5 linked regions of the Rattus norvegicus genome follow. The protein of the gene in region 2 interacts with the protein of the main gene of each other region in a biochemical or structural test. Links are inferred from orthologs where the notes say so. Each region holds a gene or a part of one and is shown on either strand. Other genes may lie near its edges. The genes, in order: Ric8a, Gnaq, Rgs4, Plcb1 and Grk2.

Region 1 (4,132 bases), about 18 Mb from region 2:
GGTCTACAGAGTGAGTTGTAGGACAGCCAGGGCTACTGTCTCAAAAAAAAAAAAAAAAAACATAAAAAATAAAAAATGCAGAGGGACAAAACTGATGTCACCTCTGGCTGCCTATATATAGAAACAGTTGGAGGCTGAGGGTCACAAGCAAGAACCAAAGGCTTCTGAGAACCACTTAACAGGACCACAGAGACCTAAAAGGTAACTGTCACCTTAGTAGACCCTGAGAGGCTTGTTTTTCTTTGGTAATCAGCAGCAGCAGGGTTCACACACATGGTGTGTCCGCAAGCTTCTGAGAGGACCTGACTGAGCGGCCACCATCTAGCTATACCACGGAGAATCAGAAGACCTGTCCTGGATATACCATCAAGCTGAGCTCTACTTGCCAGTACCAATGGTGCAGAAACAGTAGCCATAACTGGTACCCAAGCCCCTGGGCATCCACATAGCAGGTCCCCCTCCTACCTGGTGCAGACGCTTCTCTAGGAAGGCAAGGAGGGCATTGATCACATCCATATTAACTCCCATAAACTCTAAGGATCCTTCGTGTAGCTCCAGAGCGAGAAGGACATCCAAACATTTGAGGGGCAGGTTCCCCAGGAGATTCACGGTGTGGCTGGGGACAGACAGAGGCCTTGACACAGTAACCATATTTAGCACAGATACAATCCCTGGCCCTTCTCCTGGGGTACACATGATATGTGGGCCCGAAGGATAGCACTGAGGCAAGGGCAGTTGGTACCCCAACTCGAGTTTGGTGGGGAAACACTGTAGACTCTATCTGCACCATTCTGTCTGAGCTGAGATGCCAAGCAATCTCTCAGTTTCGAGAGACTGGCTGAGGCACCAGCAAGAGACCATGCGGCCTCCACCTAAGGCCCTGTCTCTAAGTTCAAAACTCTTCTTAGTCATACCCTGAGTTCCCTAGGCTCTCTGAAAACACACCGGGATCCCGTTCCCCATGATGTCACACTCAAAGGTGGGGCCCGGGCTCCCAGGTGCTTGAGTCACAGCTAGGGTTAAGGACTTCTGTACCCATACCTAGGCAACTCCTGCCATCCCCAACATAGTAAGTCCTGCTCCTCACCCATGGAACTCCTCTGTGCGGTCTCCAGCAGCATCAGCCATCACACAGTGCCGCAGAAGGGTCCCCAGGTACCGGTAAAGGGCAGCGTCCTCCTAGCCAAAGACGGAAAGGGGCTCCCGTGAGAATAAGACCCTATTCTTATGACCCAAGGCCACATGGTGATCACTAGGCCCTGTCCACAGCACACTTGGTCACCTGAAGCATTATGGAGAATACCCGTCCCCAGCCCCATGCACAACACAGCTCAGAAACCTTGAGTTCCTGCCTAGATTGTCCTCTAGTCCTTGCCATATCCGACACCCTGCAACTTGAGGCACACAGGGAAGCAAACCCACAAAATGCCCCAGCTGAGCTGAGTCCCACCCATTGACTTCAGACTACAACCTACCTCATCAACCTCCCTCTTAACAGAGTCGTAGGTGATGTTAAAGAGCACTTTGAGGATTTCCATGGCCCGCTCTGTCTCTTGGGCTGGAAGTATCACCAGAGGGTTTTCTTTGGGGGCCACACCCAATGTCAGTTCCAGCGCATCGGTCAGCAGGCGCACGCCATGCAGCTCCTGAAACAGCTGCTGGCGCACATCAGTGCGAAGGGCTGTTAGCAGGAAAAGGAGCCTTAAGTCAAAGAACTGGACTTCGTGGGGATAGCTCCTTTTGCGGTACAGTCCCACACGTTCCGCTAGCCTCACCACCAGTCGAGCCTCTGCTGCTAGCATCTGTGCTGTAGGACTGCTGAGCACAAGATTACACAGGCATTTGAGAGACTCGAGGAGGACATCCATGTCTGGGGGCTGTGGGATGGGCTCCTCTGAGATGGCAATGTCGGCATAGCAGGCTAGTGCGTGTAAACTCTGGCGGCTAGCAAATGAGTCCAGGCAGCTGCGGTCTCGGGATAGGATTCGGATAGTCTGCAGCCAGGTGACACGGTGTTTTGGTGACAAGCCCTGCTCCAGTACGGAGACCAGCAGCTTTGCGAGTCTCTGTGGGAAGGGACAAAAATGGTTCCACTAGGCCCTCTTCTTGGGGCAGCCCGTGCTTGCCCTAGGAACCCCCTTGGGCTGACACCTACCTTCCTGTCCTCCTGCTGTGCATCATCGAAGGTGAAGCTCTGGGAATGCTGCAGGGAGACCCAGGAAGCTCAGTTCCACACGCAGGTAGGACCTGTGCTCCTCGAGAAGCAGCAGGTCTGCTTCTACCTCTGAAGCAGCAGCCATCGCTGTGTACGTAAAGCAAGGCCCACCCTCGCCACCCATACACCTGACTACCACAGAGGCACCGCCGTGGCCCAGCCCACCACCCACCGCCCTGCTCCCTGCCACACTCGCACGCACACCCCAGCCGAGTGGCGAGCAACCGGCTGCTTCCTCACTTCCTGCAATTTCCTCGGCAGCTGGATGCCTCTCACCTCTCGGTTAAACGACCGCAGAGCTTCTGTCACCGCATCTTCCTCTCCCGTCTCCAAGGCATCCGCAACTGCCCGGGGCTCCATGGCCCCTGGCACGGGGTGCTAGAAGACTTGGGCTGGGAAGACGCAATCGGCCAAACCCGGGGACTCCGCCCAGGTCCGGAAGCCCAGCGTCCACGCGTGAGGAATGCTGGGAGAACAGCCGAGCCTAGGGTGTGTACAGGCGCGGGGCTGGCCTCCGGCTTAAGGTGGAGCAACCCGGCTGTGGCCGCTGAGCGGCTTGTCTTGGAGCAGCGATGCTAGCTAACTAAGCAGTATCCTCCTTTTGAGCCCTTCTCTCTAGCCCGACTTCCTGGCGGGCGGGGGTGGGGAGTGGGGTGTGGCTTGGCCGGCGCGTAAACCTTTCTCCTTACACTCTTGTTCCCGTACTGTGATAAAAGAGGGAGCGCCGGCTCCTGGCCGCTTAGTCAGTTGGGGAAGACGATTCTCGCGGTCATCTTCCTGATGCTCATCTTCCACGGGAAATAAGGAAAGAGAAGTACGACTTGGATGGTCAAAATAATGTACGTGGTTAGCCGGGCATAGTAACGCACGCTTTTTTAAATTTCAGCACTCGAGAGGCAGAAACGGGCAGACCTATCTAAAAACAATCAAAAAACCAAACCACCAAAATAATGTGGTTATCAAAAGAAAAGGGCAATTGCAGAGTGTATGAGGAAGGATCGGAGAGAAGGAAGTGAAGAACACCGGTGGAAAAGCGACTCCCGCGGGAGGAGCAACGGAGGGGCGGCTAGCCGCGGCGTGTCTGGGGTTAGAAGCGTAGGAACGTTGTATAGTGGGGAGCCAGGTCTGCATGCCACTTAGCTTAAGGCAGAGTCGGTGCACCCCACGGTGACACAAGCAATGTTCCAGAGGATAATGCCGCCCGCTGTGCTAACCGGCGCTTGCCTCTACTCAGTGTCAGGTCCTTTGCCAGTCTCTTTCGCTTCTGCTCGTCCTCCCCATCCTGTCGTTCTCACTTGGGGACTTTGCAGCGCCCGAGGTACCCGACCCTCGGCTCCAGGTTGGGGTCTGAGCTCCTGCTCCGGGTAATACCCACAGCGCGGGACTAATACTGCTGACCAATCCGTAGGCCCGAATGCTGGCGGCCCGCCCTTCCCTTATTTACATTCCAGTGTAGAACTACAAGTCTGTTTCTTCCGCTTCAGACTCTTCTCCCGGAAGTTATTAGACCTGAGGCGGAACCGGAAGACCCAGGTAGTGGTGCCACGTCCGTCGCTGTGTTGCCTACTCCCCGAGTGGGACCTCGGAAGGCGCGATGGCAGATTGGACTCGAGGTGAGCGCACCTGAAGGTAGTTGGGATAGGAGGCAAGGTCTAAGTCTGGAGTACGAGCCATCAATTTTTCCTCGGTGGAGGGATCTGCGTGGGATGGCGCTTACGTATTCCAGGAAAAACAGGGCCAGATTTCAACTGGCACTGCCTTGGAACCCAAGCCGGCATGACATCAGTTTGTGTGTATGGTTGATGCCAAGGGCTGGAAGCAGAAGGTCCAAGCAGGGACTTACAGGGCTCAAGTGCCTCGTTTCACACACACCCTCCGCCCCCGTGCCTGTGTTCAGTCTGACAGTTGTGATACTGA
Region 2 (3,514 bases):
GCCAGTCTATTGTTGCACTCTTTCCTCACTTCAGTCCTCTCCTGTCTGTTTTAAAAGAGGGATCAGCACAAGGGAACTATCAGAAGGGACTTCAGATTGTCTAGTTCATCACCTGCTTTAATTTCTTAAGACTGCTTTAGAAAATGCCACATGCTCAAATTCCCTCCTGTTGTGAACGTGTCCAGGTGAGGAGTGCTCTGTGCCCCTTTCGGCATCCCATCCCAACAGCCATCACTCCAAGGATTGCTTTCCTCTACTTGACACTGCCAAAAAGTGTAAAGGTATTTCCCGTGTATTATCTTTTGAACTTTGAAACCATCTTATTATTTGTCCCACTCCCACACATGAGAAAATTCAGGCCTAGAAAATTCAGGCCTAGACTATGAAGAAATGAAGATATCTTAACAAATGTAAAGACTGCCAGATTCTTTGGCTTTTCCTTGCTAGGACTCAGATGCTGGTATGGAGTCACTGCAGAGCAAACCGAGAGCAGATAGCTGTCACTGAGTCAGTAGCCTCTTTAAGTCCCTTCCCACCCTGTAACTCAGAGTAAGTCCAGAATAAGAAATTTTATTTTAGGGTAAATGCTAAGTAAACTCAGAGGACTTGCATCTACAGAGAGTTCACATGTCATTCCATGTTATAAATCGACTGTGCACTTTTGTAGTAGACATTTGTGAGCTGGGCCAGAATTGTTCTCCTTTTTCCACTAGCAGTACCCAGATTTCCCCCAGGGACTGTCAATCACATTGACCAGACTTCCTTCCCCTGTCTAAAGAACTAGCAAAGAATCCAGACTCAGCCAATCCAACACTTTTTCCCAGGAATTCGAATCAGGAGTGAGTGCTGAAAGATTGAAATGGGCTGAAGTTCATCTCTCCCAAGCACAGTCCTTCAGCTTCTCAGGCCTCCTGTGAGCTCACGCCTCAAAAGTTTTCCTCTTCTTCCTCATCCAGTGGTTGGTTTCTACAGCCTACAAAATCTTTGGCTCCCCTCACTTTTTGACAGGCAAACCAAAACAGCAGACTGTGGGTTCTGTTTATTACACAGGTGGAAATTCCTCAATGCAATCAGTGTGTGGTCATTCTGTGAACTAAGAAAATTCCCTTGTTTTTGTTTTGTTTTGTTTTTAAGTAGCAATTTCTTATTGAGTTGATCAAAGACAGGAATAATATAGCCTTTAGAATTTTGGCTACTTTTCCTGGAAAATAGCATTGAAGATGTTGAATTTTTTTTAAAGAAAATACAAAAAATTAGAATAATTTAAACATCTTTAACAAATGCTTACATCTTAGGAGTGGATATATATATATATATTCATTCACTAAGCAAGAGAATGAGGGCTGGAGTATGTCCCTGGTACCATTCTCATTTGCCTGACGCTCATCAATTAGGCTAGCTGGCTGGCTAAGGAGTCTTTGGATCCTCCCGTCTTTGTATCTCCAATGCTGGGATTACATGCCCATGTAATAATGCCTCAGCATGTTTAGCTCAATTCTGAGGAAAGAACTTAGATCTTGAGGCTTACACGGTAAGTGCTTTACTGACTGAATCATGCCCCCAACCCTAATGAGGTACTTTCCTGTAACATGTCCTTCTTATTCTTAGCACTTATTGGTCCACTTAAGTTTCCCTCCACTCCAAATGAAAAGGAAAACCGGGTGTCATAGTGACAGCCTGTAGCTACTTAGGCAAAGGGAGCTAAAGACTGGTTGCTAAATGAGCCATCAGAACTCCAAAGACCAAACTTAGAGCCTAGGTAAGGGTGAGTATCCTTGTCAGAAAAGCTTGCACCAGAAACATTCTAGAATGCAGAGCTTTTACATATGGTAACACATGCATATACACAAGTCTCTGTGAGATGAGGCTGAAATCTAAACTAAAATTCACTTGTTTTTCATACTCATAGCCTAGTAGCACATTTTTTAGTAATTTTACTGAATTTAGACAGGGAAGGAAAGACTGAATCCTGCAAGCTATCCTTTGTCCTCCACATGATGAGATCTTAGATTTTCAGATCAAGGATGCTCAAACTATAGAATGAAAAGAAACTGAACTTGTCAGCATGAAGGTAGCACAGACTGAGTCCCCACTATCATTCCTTTTCATGTAACAGCGCCATATCAGCTGCTTTCCTCCTACAGCAACCGGCAATGGACAGACTGTAGATACTTCTGCTCTGCCTTACAGAAATCACAAATCAGCTGCACAGGGATACCAGGATCCTATCGGCAAAAGCCTCTGCTTTGTCCCTGTTTTGCTGTGGGGGGGAAATACTCCCAAAGAGCATGCTTGCTTCCTGAGACGGAGGAGACAATGCATGACATATGAAATACTACAACAGAAATACAGGAAGAACACCATCTGCCAAATTCAGGCCTTCTTTACCACGCTGCAATTCCAGACAGTTCCCTAGCCATGCTAATACAGAGGCACACTATCGCTTCCTTTTTATTAATAATCAAATTCTAGACCAAGACAGAGAGTGTAATCAGAAGAACATATCTGTGTAAGATGAATGAAATTCGTCCTTTTAGAAAGAACTAAATAAAGAACTTGTCTCGTGGTCCTACACTTTACATAAGCAGGCTTCAATAAATGACAATCTCTTTTATCGTTGGCTATGAACACGTATTCAGAGAGAAGACAAGATGGTATTTATAAATAAACTCTTTACCACTGTTTGTTCAAAAGAAATCCAAAAACATGTGCTTCCTCAGTGTGGGGTGGGTTGAAGCCCCTCACCATTATATAAACTTGCTTTTTTAGTCAAGAACTCCCAAGGACTGAACAATGGATACCTACACTCAAGGAAAAATGAATCAGAGTTTGGTAAAAGTGTGCAACTTACTGAAATGCATTACAAGCCGCTTCCTAAGTTTAGAATCCTTAGAAAAGAGTGAGGCTTATAAAAAGACACACAGTGCCATGCCATCTGGTCCACAGCTCCCTCCACAACCAGTGAAACTTCTCATTCAATGAAGCAACACTTGGGCAGTATTAAAGGAAATTCCAGTGTTGCTGTGGCACTCCAAAAAGATAGAACCACTTTTGCAACTGTGAACAATTTTCTATTATCAAACAGGCCAGGTAATAGTTAAAGTCTTTTCTTTATAACATAAACAATCCAATAAGGTGAAGAGTGAGAGAGGAAGACACTTCTAGCCTCCATAAGCCAGCATCTGTGTATCCATCCATACAGGGAGGGGAGGGAGAGGAGATGAGGTCATAAGGAGAGGGGAGGGGATAAAGTACATTCCAAATACCCACGGTCCACTCTAGAAGGGTTTAGACCCCACAGTGGCAACTGTTATAATGAGTCCACTTACCTTATTGTGTTCATACTTGTATGGGATCTTGAGAGTGTCCATAGCTCTGATCATGGCCTGCATGGCTGTAAAGATGTTCTGATACACCAGTTTGGTAAAGCCCCTCTTGTCTTCATCAGAGTACCCCGACCCGTGGATGATCCTCATCTGCTTAATGAAGGTACTCTTGCCACTCTCCCCTGTCC
Region 3 (3,806 bases), on a different chromosome or scaffold from region 2:
CAGTCACCCTAAGACTTGAGAAGTCGAGGTAGGAGGATCTCCATGAATTTGAGCCCAAACTAGTCTTCACAGTTAAGTTATAACCAGTGGAGGACAGCCTGAGTGAGACCCCATTGGTTACTGTTGTTGATCTGGTTTCTTTTCTTATTCTGATATTTTTGTTTTTTGGTGGTATTGTTTTGTTTCGTTGGGGTTTTTTGTTTGTTTGTTTTATTTTGTTTTAGTTTGGGGTATTTTCTCCCCCCAACCAAATTGAAGATCTGCAGTACACTAAAGTTGCCTAGTCTTCAAACCTAGAACAGCCAGGGACCTGGGAGCAGAAGCAGGCAGAACAGTGAAAGGGGCCTAAGCCTAAACAATACAACTTCTACTTTCCTTTCTGGAGTTGGCAGGGGAGGGATAGAAGACTCCCTGTGAGTCATTTTGTAAAGGCATCCTATGCCCCGCTGTTTCTCACGGCATTGCCTCTCTGGATCATTAATGTGTTTCCAAGCAGATTGTTTTGTAGGAAGCATTTATTTCCTGTTATCATTCAGATCTATGTGTTTCATTGGAAGCATCAGCGCTGAGGCCTATAAAGCACATGGCAGAAACAGACATGCATCTGGAAGGAGCGTCCTTTGCAGGGGCCAGCAGCAGGCAGGCTCGCCAGACCAAAGAGCGATGGCAAATACAACTGAAGACACACTCAAGATGTATTACATAAAATAATTTACTTCTCATTCAGAATGACTTTTCCCAGACCTATTTGTGAGACAGCAGTCTGGGAGTACAGGTACAATCTCAAAGTCATGATAATATTAGGGCAAGACCGGAGAGTTATACAGACACGACTGTGGACTTGTGTATTACAAAAAGGAGTTAGGACCACTGATGGGGGAGCTCTGGGGATATTATACGCAAGACTGTCAAGAGAGACAACAGTACTGTTAGAAAACTGACTTCTTCAATAATGGTGAGACTTGGATTCACACTATGAGTGTCTTCACTTTGCAGCCACAATGGTGCTCATGCATGGAATTTAAACTGGAGCTGTGCCTGCAGTATGCACGAGTCTGTGTGCGCTCTCAAAGGCAGGACTTTTAGAGGAATGAGAAGAAAATTACTTCTTGGGCATTCATTAATAATTCGGGTAATATCCTGTACCTCCATTTATAAAACAATACAGTAATAAAAACATTGTACAAAACAACATAAATAACACAAATGAGAAATTTTCAAGTATTTCACGTGCCTTAAAAAGCTCCAAACAGTAGTCCTACCAACTGATATCCCGTCCTCCTCTTTTCTCTTCTCTTTCTTTTTTTTTTCTTTCCTCTCTCCTTCCGTTGGTCTCTGCTAACTTTGGTGTTTGGGATGGGATGAACAAGCTCTTACCTCAAAGCAGAAAACCAAAAAGGGGTTTACAGCTCATAAGAGCTTACTTCCTCCTGGGACAGCATAACCTTTCCCCCTGGTGATGCTTTTGAAAAATGTAAGCGGGTAGCTTAGAATGACTTGCAGGTGGCCATGGTTCCTAACGTGAGCAACCAACCACGGGGAAGTAAAGAGGCTCATCTGACAGGTGACGTTCTTTGGGGGTAGGAATAGGAGAGCACCTTATCAAGAGAGGAAAGAATTAAGATAACCTCGGGGTCTTCTGCCCTCACCTAAGCAGTAGTCATTTGTAGGGCTAGGCAACAAGGCCTGGACCGCATTCCTTCATTCCTCTCAAACATCCATCTCCAGACCAACCCAGCTGCTAGTCAGCATGCCCTGAGCACCCAGGCAAAGGAGGGATGGCCAACAGCATAGGGACTTAAAAGTGCTAGTAGTAATCACCGGTGCGAGGCAGCTCTGTGTCAGTCAGACAGCAGAGTTTTCGGAGTACTCACCCCATAGCTCAGTGCTCAATGTGGAGGCCATTGACGAGATTAAACACAAAGGCCCTGACTATGCTCCATCAAGACCCAGTGGCTTGACGGAACTCACTTTTTACAAGTTAGTGTTCCTTTCTTAGCCTGCATGGCAGTTAATTTAGTTTGCCCTGTTCAGACACAGTATGAAGGACCAGAAGTCAGAACATGCATGCAAGCATGTGTACACACTCCAATTTGAGCACCAAGGATCTTTCCCATCTTTTCTTGAAGAAATGTGTGTGCATGTGTGAACATATACAAATATATATATGCATATATATATATATTCATGCACATTCACACATACTGAATACATAGATATAATATATACAGAATGTATATGCATATGTTCTATATATTTAATATATACATACACATACACAAATATCACCTAAACGTTGAAAGTCTGTAGGAAGTGCTGCTGGCTGACATTGCATGTGCATGTGACATCACATGAAGTGTACCAACTAACTTGAGGTCAAACTGTTGGAAGGGGTGGACTACTAACCATCTTTGAAAATCCAGACCTACAGGGCCATTATTTGGAGACTTGCTCACCTGACACCCTTTAAGGAAACTTGGGAAAATTGAAAACAAGTTGGGTCTTACCCCAATGAAAACCCCCACACCACAGCTAAGTCTAGTTTTACATGGAAGTGACTCACACACGGCAGGCAGCATGGATACTAGGCTACAATGTGGAGAAAGCATTGATGCTTAATACAGATCAATATTTGGCCTCAGGTTTTCCAGAGCATAGAGTCTTGGCATTTCGGTTCTCTGCCTCTGTGTGAGAATTAGGCACACTGAGGGACTAGGGAAGTGCAGTCTGCAGAACTCTTGGCTCCTTTCTGCTTCTCTGCCCCGCAGCTGGAAGGATTGGTCAGGTCAAGATAGAATCGAGACTTGAGGAAACGACGGTATGAATCCTTTTCCATCAGGTTGAAAATCTTCTTCTGGGCTTCATCAAAACAGGTTATCGTGGGCTCTAACATGTTCCGGCTTGTCTCCTCTCTGGTGCAAGAATCCAGGTTCACCTAAAGTGCAAAGACCAAGGTTGCATTAGAGCTAGAGCTCTGTTGAAGAGAGGAGGCTTACATTCAAAAAGGAGTAGCCAGGACCCTTTCTTTACCTTCCTCCCAGGAGTGAAACCCGGGACATTTGGGTGTGCCCTGGCATATGTGTATAAAAGGTCAGCTCTGCCCTGAAGTGGAAAGAGCACTTCCCTTTCCTTTACTCTCTCATTTGAGAGATTTATAATTATATTTATTAAGGAGAGTCATTGAGATCACATAGACAAAATGGCTTTTTTCCTAATAGACTTACTTGAAATGTCAAGATTATAATAGCCAGTCCTATTGCTCCTTTAGTAGATCTAAAGATTTCTGCCCCTGAATGCCTCTCCTATGAATTCCCACTAAGATCTAGAAAGTTCTCTGCCATGGAAACATACCTCTTTTGTTGCCTGCACAGAGATGAACTCATTGTAGATCTTCTTGGCCTTGGGACTTAGTTTAGAAGGTGATTTGATTTTCTTGTACTCCTCACAGCTGATCCAGAAGTCAATGTTCTCCTCACTGTATTCTGACTTCAGGAAAGCTTTGAAAGCTGCCAGTCCACCTGTGACAAAGGACAAAGAACCAAAGTTACCCAGAAATGGCTTGTCTTATGCTGAGTAATACTATCCTCAGTGTGTGTGTGTGTGTGTGTGTGTGTGTGTGTGTGTGTGTGTGTGTGTGTGTATGTGGTGCATGAGTGTGTGTGTGTGGTGCATGAGTGTGTGTGTGTGGTGCATGAGTGTGTGTGTGTGGTACATGAGTGTGTGTGTGTGTGTGTGTGTGTGTGTGTGTGTGTGTGTGAGATAAATGATGACAGAGAGAAAGAGAGAGAGGGGGGGGGTATGGTTAC
Region 4 (3,514 bases), on a different chromosome or scaffold from region 2:
TGAAGATTTTGTCTATCCCAGCAATGGCCTTCACACTTGGCTTAGTTGGTTAAATGTGTTTCATAGACTCTTCCCATAAAGTCTGTCTTCCAGATTATTAGAACAACCCAAAGATTGGCAATTTGAGTGTCATGTGCATGGCAATGGCTAGGTAGAGACAGTTATAGCTGTCCATCTTTGGGCCAGAAATATGCGTTCCAAGTTTGTCACAGTGTCTGCCAATGGCCAGTATCTTCACTCCCAGGACCCATGGTAATTAAAACAAACCAAACAAAGCAAAAAACAAACAAATCATTTTAAAATGTTAACTTCTGGTTAAGTTAATTCCTGTTAATTTAGAACTCCATCCATAGAATTGACTAGAGATCTGCTACGAGCGAAGGCAAATTCACTGTACAGACCTAGATTAACAACAGTGGAAGGGGCAGCAAGGGTTGGGGAGTGTTTTTTCCTACAGGGATAAGACTGCCTATGTAGAAATAGACTAAACACTGAAAGAGTAGGATTCTAATGGACATGGAGAGGCTCAAATGACTGACCGTTAAGCATCTACACACAAGAAGTTGTGCTTATGAGGCCCACAGTGCCCCAGCATTGGCCCAGTTGGCCTTCCATCCAGCCATGGAGATGCAGATGACCCAGGTAGCACTGTTTACCTGCATACGTGTCTGGGACATAGTCTTTGACTTCTATGTAGACAAAGACAGCTGGCAGCATCAGGGGCTGGTTCCTCTCATTCCGCAGGCAGATGTAGTGATAGCCTGCAGGGAGACAAGGACACCAAGTGTCATCTGTTGGTTTCACAATGCTAGCTATATCCATTCATACCCATGGTGCTCGACAAACAGTCCACTCCCTTCTCAGCTTAATCACACAATTTGAACACTGCTGACTCTGTTTTTATTTTTGTTTTTTTTTTTTCTGTTCTCACCACATTTCCCCTTCCAAACTGTATGCTCCAGTGGTCCAAATTATTGGTCCAAATGTGTCTTCTATAATAAGTCATACTTGACATGGTTTCATGACTGGGGATCTGTTTTGTCCATGAGACATTAGTGGTTTGGGGCAAGCAAAGAATGAATGCACACATGTTGAGTTAGGCACCTTTAATATCCTTGTGGGTTAGGAAAAGGAAATCCCTAGATTGGATGCCACCACTACTTCAGCATGCACCCCAAAATGAGCACACATGGAACAATAATGAACCCAAATGGCACCCCAAAAGCACAACTATGCCACTGAGCTCAGGATAGCCCAGTCAATTTTTATACTGTGGCCAATGTGCTTGGTCTTCCATGAGCTCAGGCTATTCCAGTCGATCTTTATTCTGTGGCTTTACCACACAGGCTCCCATGTTGGAGGCTGTGGGATCATCCAGCTGCTCCCCTCTGCACAGCTGGAGTCATAGGCCTGTGCTACTTGGTCTTGCCAGAGATGGTTTCTGAGAGATAGTCTCATTAAAAAGACTGAGTGTGACCTTACCTAGTTCTCTGGTTTCCTGTCTGGTGAGGTGACCCCTCACCCCCACTTCCTCTAGCAAGCCTCCACTATTAGGCGTTGACCAGAGGAGAAGTTGATGAAATGATCAGATTGTGACCTTGGTAGCTTTCCGGACTGAGTGAAATAAACTTCTTTTCTTTATAAAGTAGTCTGAGTCAGGTATTTTCATTATAGTAGTAAAAAGAAGCTAATACACAGTACTAACCCACGAGACTCATGAATCGGGACCCGTGACTCATGCATGTGAGCTTCCAAGCAGCTTGTTACACATGTATTACAATCAAAGTTGGCTTTGACAACACAGCACCATGACAAACATACACAACTACCAGACTGATTGGAACAATTCTTACGCCCCCACCATTCAGCACAATCACAGAGGAGCAACAGCTCCTAAGTCATTGTTTAATGGAAATCTCTCACCACATTATGCATACCTGGCCGAATTGCTTGCACAGGCAAGATCCGGTGGCCAATAAATTTGCCTCCTTCCTCATATGCTGCTATCCTTAAACAGGCCAGAGAAGGCAGAACTACCTGTGGGGATAGAAAGGATTCTGGTTACAAGAGTAAGCAAACCCTAGAAAGAACTAGAGAAGTACTAGAAAAACTGTCCCTGCTTTTCCCAAAGCTGAGTATCTACTCAGTCAATTTAAGTAAAAAGTTAAGTTGCCTCTCTGTGAAATAAGAAAAGACACGGGACTGCATTTGGGTGTCCCTCTGTGCTTAGTACCATTTGAGGAGCATTGAACGAAAGGGTACCTGTTATTACACATACATCATTAATGAGGAAAGTTCCACGAACTCAGATAGAGGGTCACATCATTACTCGTGTAGGTTTTCACAGGAAATGATTGTGATATATTAAATCAATACCTAAAAATAGGAGCTGGGAATAAGTCTCGGAGGTTAAGAATATTTGTTGCTCTTGAAGAGAATTCAGGTTCAGTTCCTAGCACCCACACAGCAGCTTACAAGGGTCGATAACTCTATTTGTAGGAGCCCTACCTGGCTCTTCTGATATCCTAGGCACCAGGATGTGCTGCACAAATTTATACACAGGGTAGACATTTATACAATTAAATAATGCTAAATACTAAAAAATAAAATTAAAGCCTTTATGATAACCTCCAAAATGCACCCATAACCAAATAACTGCTTTGTTTTTCCTCTGTTTAAAGCACCCAGAAAAATTTGCCTCTCACAGCAAGCATGAGACCCACCTTTTTGAATACAATTGGCTCTTCTTCCCAGACAGGATTTACAGCATTTCCTTGGGATGTCTTGGTTTTAAATGCCTTCCTTCTTGTGTCCACAGGCAAACCAAACATATCCACTTCCACATAAGTCCCAACTTTCTTATCAGAGAGAAACTGACCTGAAATAATCTAGAAAATATCAAGAAGTCTTGAGCCATGAGTAACAAAGCATCGGGGGACAACTCTAAGGTGGTCCAAGAGTTTCCTGAGTGGGAAATCGTACGATGAAATACAAGGAAGAATAGAAATGCCATTGCTCTTCCACTTAAGGAGTTGATTGAGGAGACTGAGAATGGGGAGGTTAGTAGCCAATCAGATGAAGTAGAATGGGAGCAATAAATGAATAGCATCCTTGGAAGTCACCGAGTAATCATGACCTCTCTCCTCATCCAGTTTGCCATCTGCAGAACTGTGGGCCTCCGTTGTCTAGCTAAATAATTAGTCTGTGTCATATTGTTAAGTAAGAGTTAAGTCTACATATTCCTATAACAGTTCCCATGTTTTAGTCTAGCTATAATCTAGTCATCAATATCTTGGGGACCTGCCATAAAGGTTAATGGACACAATAACCGTGGACCACTCAGCGAGATTCCCAGGTTCCTGCCTCCCTGACTCCTTCAGAATCTCTGACCACATCAGCAGGGTCTTTGTCCTTTCTTGGCTCCCACCACTTATGCTCCTGCCGCTGGGCTGGATTTCTCATCCAAACATCATCTTCGAAGTCCTGTCCCTGTCTGTCATGGGTGAGCTCAGAA
Region 5 (4,269 bases), about 12 Mb from region 2:
CCAAGACCCCACAGTATCTGCCCCAGAACTGTCTCCTCTGTGCACTGAACAGGGAGGACAGTGGTGCTTACATGTTGTCACTGGCTGCAATGGCCTGGAGCAAAGACACAGGAAAAAGATAGTTCATTCTCAGGAAAGGTAGACTTGATGCTGAGGTACTCAAGCCCAGAGACCCCGGTACAGGTTACATAGTGAGGCCACAGAGAGAGCAATGCTAGACACAGTCAAAGGCCCAGAGATGCAGTGTGGAGGAGAAAAAGGGGATTAACGCAGTGCTTGATGTGCAGGGGGACTTGCTAAGACCAATATGTCCCCAGCTATTCCAAACATGACAGCTGACATGGACTACGGGCCACTCCTGCTTATCACTCCTGCTTATCTGGGAGGTGGACAGAATAGTCTACTCCTCTAGGGAGGGAAGGATGGTTACTAAGATCCTCTCCTTTCAGGCCCCAGACTGAAGTGACTGAAAAGTGGTCACCAGACACAAAGAGTCTGAGACAGCAAGGAGTCAGGCACCATTTTTTATAAAAACGCATAGTCTCATTTTCCACTCTTTAAAATCACATTCAAAAATCGGCAAAGAAACGCCCCAGGAGTGAGTAGACAATAGGGGAGGGTGCGCCCACCCAGCCCCAGAGGGAGAGGGCGCGACACCACACACAGCTGCGCGACTGGCACAAGGGGGCATGCGGTGGGCAAGGTGGCACCTGTGGATGGTGGCCACTGACATGACATGGGCTAGGGGGCTGGACAGTGTGGGTGGGGGCACACTGACCAGCCAGGACAGGGAGGGCCGGCCCCAGCTGGGTTCTTATGCTGTGCCACCCACCTGCCCAGGCTGTCCCACTGTGGTCCTGGGCAGATGAGCCTCACCCAGCCCAGAGTTAGGGATCTAGGTTCAGGCTAGGCCAGTGTGGCCCAACAATCTACAGTCGTTTTTCTATGCTCCTGAGTCCAGGCACGCAATGGGAAGAGGGGACTTGCAGGGAGGCCAGCAGCAGCCACTGCCAATGGCAGCCTCCTGATGAGGCAGGTGTCACACACAGGCTTTTCCTAAACAAGGACCCAGGAGCCCGTCACTGTGGGAGACCGCCAAGTCTGGGGAGACAAGGGCCTTCTCTCACCAGTGGCAAGAGGGCAGGACAGAGAGGTCTGTCCCTCTGTGGCATGGGAGCTATGATAGGAAAGTTCAAGTAGTATCCCTGTGTTGCACCTTCCTAGGGTAGGGGTGCTGGGCCACCCAGCTGGGCCTCAGGCTGAGTGTAGCCCACAGAGCCTGAAGTGACACACCCACCGACTGTGGCTTCACCCCATGGAGGGGCAAGAGGGCTGCTGAGGGTTGCTCCTCTTCCCAGTAGGAAGATACTGGGAGCAAGGACCCTAGGGGGATGCGGTGGGGGCGGGGCAGGGGTGCTAGACAGTGGCTGGGTTGGTGGCAGCAGGAGCTGAGGCAAGCAGGCCCCTCCCTGGGGGCTGGGCCAGGCTGGGGCCACAGGAAATCACAATAATTACAAAATAAAACCTTTTCCGCTTTGCGGGAAAACAAATAATAAAAATTCAACAAAATAAATTAGAGGTTTATAAAAGGCGGGTGGGCAGGCGGGCAGCAGATGGGTGAATCAGAGGCCGTTGGCACTGCCACGCTGAATCAGTGGCACCTTGCTCAGCTCCACCACAGGTGAGCGTGGCTTGTTCTTCATCTTGGGCACTCGCTGCACCAGCTGCTGGGCCTCACGGTAAGCATCGCGCAGCTCTTTTTTCCATTGCACCAGCTCAGGGTCACTCTGTACACATCCAGGCTGTCAGTCTCTGCTGGCACCCACCCACCCACCCGCACCCTAACCTCCCCTCCCCCGCTCTTACATCACACTGCAGGACAAACTGCTTGCCACCTCGGATCTTAAGCAGGAGACACTTGCGTTCCTTGATCTGTGTCTCTTCCACCGACTGGATCTCTTCCATGGTCAGGAGGCTCTGCTGCAAGGTGGGAAGACAGAGCAGGCTGTGAAGGAAGGCCCTGAAACCCACCCAGTACCCACACCACGTCCTAGCAGAACCTTTCTTACCGGAGCCTCGCCTTCACCCCTCCACTCAAGCCGGTTGGGGAACAGGTAGAAGTATCGCCGCTGCCACTGGGTCAGGAAGGGGTTGCCCATCTTGGACATGTAGCCATGCATGATGCAGTCCTTACCCAGGGCGTAGTCTGTACAAGAGATGGGTGCAGGCTCAATACCCCACCCCCACCCAGACACTTGCTGGCTGTGGTCTTGGTCAGTTTCTTAGCAGAGCCCGCTTCTCATTTCTGCAGTGTGCAACAGGCCGGGCTTCCCCCACGGTCTTAAGTCCTCACCCTCCTCGTGGCCCAGCTGTTTGTTTTTGGCTTTCTTCCGTGCCTCCAGCCGGTCTGTCTCAGCATTGATGGTATCAAAGACAGTCTCTGCCACCTCCTGTTGCCACCGCTCAGAGATGGTGAGAGGGAAGTTGCGGTACAGTTCCTGGTCACTGTCCAGTAACTTCACCAGGTGGACATGGCAGGAGCACATGGATAGACAAAGGGTGCCAGGACATTATCAGTCACAGGCCTGTGTAGGGCCCTAAGCTAGGGATCGTCTCATGAAACCACCCTCCCCAGGGAGGCTGGGGGATGGGGAAGTATGGCCCATGGCTCACAGGGTAGCCAGTGTCTCACAGGGGCAGAGAAGGGGCAAGGGCCATCCAGACCAGACCAGACCAGACCAGGTCCAGGGGTCAGGGCCAAGCAAGGTGCATACCTTGATTCCTTTTGTGTCCTCCTCATCAAAGGAGCCAATGTCAAAGGCGTCCGCTGCATTCACCTCCCCGCGTGGGGGGATCAGTGGAGGAGGGTACTGTGCAGAGCAGAGGCTGAGCATCAGCATGGGTGAGGGGCCATGGGGTTTCCCATCCTACCCCTGGATAGACTTTTACCTTCTGTAAGAAGACCATCTGCCAGTCCAGGGAACGGAAGAAGGGGCTTTCTTTTACCTCTTGAGCCCTATGGAGAAACACCCGTCACCTGGGCTCTGCACTACCCACGATGAGCTAGGTCCAAACTGTGGGGTCACCAGCTTAGGTCTGACTCCTGACTCAGCTACCTTTTGGTCTGTGACCTTAGGCAAGTTCTGGAACTCTCAGCCAATTTGCTCATCTCTAAATGGGAGAAGCAGCTCTCACATCCTGGGGTTGATGTGAGTTTTAATACTACTTTGTCTGATAATTAACAGATATCCCGGTAGACCTACAAAGTTGCTATTAAGCTGGGTGTGGTGGTACATGCCTTTAATCAGAGGCAGACGTGTTCAAGGCCAGCCTCAACTACAGAGTAAGACTAACCTGGCTTACATGAAACCTTGTCTCAAAAAATACCCTCCCCCCTATGCAAAAAAAAAAAAAATAGTCTTTGCTACAAAGATTTTCTCTGAACCCTTTGAAAGCCCATCCTCAGTTGATTCGAACTGTGACACACTCAGCTGCCCTGCTACCTTCAGGGCATAGGGCCATGACCTCCCTTGTGAGCTCCATGGAGGGGTTTAAATGAGGGGACACAGCCACTGTTCTAAGGGGGCACAGCCAGAGGCCAACCAGGCTGGTCCAACAGACCACAGCAAAGACTGAGGAAGTCCACATGGTGGAGAGGTCAGAATGCTCACCCACGGCCCAGACAGCCTAGTCTCCGATTGACATCCCTCTGCAGCAAACCTTCCAGCAGGGATCGGAGTTCAGGGGAGAAGGAGTCAGGCAGCTCAACAGCCTTTCAGGACAAAGAGAAGGAGGGTGTCAACAGAAGCCAGGAAGAGTGAGCCCTTGGTTCTGGGGGAGGGTGAGAGGCCAGCAGAAGGAGATGAGGCCCAGCTTCCTACTGGTTCTCACCAAGTGTGAGCTCTGACATCATAAACAAGGCAAGAGGCTACAGGGCAAGAAGCCTATCCCTTAAGGAAGGGACAGAGAAGGGATGACTGGCTCAAGAGCTCTGCTGGCTAGAGAGAACCAGGAGTTTATGCTTCTGGCATCACATGCACCTTCACTGCACTCTTACACTTACCATTGTCAATGTCATGCGGTCAATCTCATGCTTGTCTTTGGTCTTGTGCTGCCGGAAGGGGCTGTGTCTGGACAAGAGGTCAAAGACCAATGTCAAAAAACAAGAATGGGAAAAGTGAGGAAGAATGATGGATGAGGCTGGTAAGAGATAAGGGAGGCTCCACCTCTAATACCCAGGCCATAGAGGGCTCCCCTCTACGCTACCTA

What was found.
Region 1: the proteins of Gnaq (region 2) and Ric8a form a complex in vitro, tested with the Homo sapiens proteins (2 studies listed by BioGRID). The link is inferred for Rattus norvegicus from reciprocal best matches to the Homo sapiens genes GNAQ and RIC8A.
Region 3: the proteins of Gnaq (region 2) and Rgs4 form a complex in vitro, tested with the Homo sapiens proteins (3 studies listed by BioGRID). The link is inferred for Rattus norvegicus from reciprocal best matches to the Homo sapiens genes GNAQ and RGS4.
Region 4: the proteins of Gnaq (region 2) and Plcb1 form a complex in vitro, tested with the Homo sapiens proteins (2 studies listed by BioGRID, with this or other methods). The link is inferred for Rattus norvegicus from reciprocal best matches to the Homo sapiens genes GNAQ and PLCB1.
Region 5: the proteins of Gnaq (region 2) and Grk2 form a complex in vitro, tested with the Homo sapiens proteins (3 studies listed by BioGRID). The link is inferred for Rattus norvegicus from reciprocal best matches to the Homo sapiens genes GNAQ and GRK2.

Annotation. Positions count from the first base shown.
Region 1 is NC_086019.1:205,363,470-205,367,601, reverse strand, and holds the start of Ric8a (synembryn-A), read right to left. Parts: upstream 2,807-4,132; 5' UTR 2,576-2,806; coding exon 2,492-2,575; intron 2,303-2,491; exon of another isoform or gene 2,204-2,302; coding exon 2,156-2,203; intron 2,067-2,155; coding exon 1,476-2,066; intron 1,180-1,475; coding exon 1,088-1,179; intron 617-1,087; coding exon 466-616; intron 1-465. Other genes in the region: Bet1l (BET1-like protein), read left to right, coding at 3,810-3,828.
Region 2 is NC_086019.1:222,939,443-222,942,956, reverse strand, and holds part of Gnaq (guanine nucleotide-binding protein G(q) subunit alpha), read right to left. Parts: coding exon 3,330-3,514; intron 3,324-3,329; exon of another isoform or gene 1-3,323.
Region 3 is NC_086031.1:84,469,089-84,472,894, forward strand, and holds the end of Rgs4 (regulator of G-protein signaling 4), read right to left. Parts: intron 3,519-3,806; coding exon 3,352-3,518; intron 2,936-3,351; coding exon 2,696-2,935; 3' UTR 505-2,695; downstream 1-504. UniProt on the Homo sapiens protein: Inhibits signal transduction by increasing the GTPase activity of G protein alpha subunits thereby driving them into their inactive GDP-bound form. Activity on G(z)-alpha is inhibited by phosphorylation of the G-protein.
Region 4 is NC_086021.1:143,089,765-143,093,278, reverse strand, and holds part of Plcb1 (1-phosphatidylinositol 4,5-bisphosphate phosphodiesterase beta-1), read right to left. Parts: intron 2,889-3,514; coding exon 2,724-2,888; intron 2,038-2,723; coding exon 1,938-2,037; intron 762-1,937; coding exon 657-761; intron 1-656.
Region 5 is NC_086019.1:211,009,759-211,014,027, forward strand, and holds the end of Grk2 (beta-adrenergic receptor kinase 1), read right to left. Parts: intron 4,131-4,269; coding exon 4,064-4,130; intron 3,773-4,063; coding exon 3,672-3,772; intron 3,017-3,671; coding exon 2,950-3,016; intron 2,871-2,949; coding exon 2,775-2,870; intron 2,517-2,774; coding exon 2,354-2,516; intron 2,207-2,353; coding exon 2,070-2,206; intron 1,981-2,069; coding exon 1,867-1,980; intron 1,788-1,866; coding exon 1,623-1,787; 3' UTR 501-1,622; downstream 1-500. UniProt on the Homo sapiens protein: Specifically phosphorylates the agonist-occupied form of the beta-adrenergic and closely related receptors, probably inducing a desensitization of them. Key regulator of LPAR1 signaling.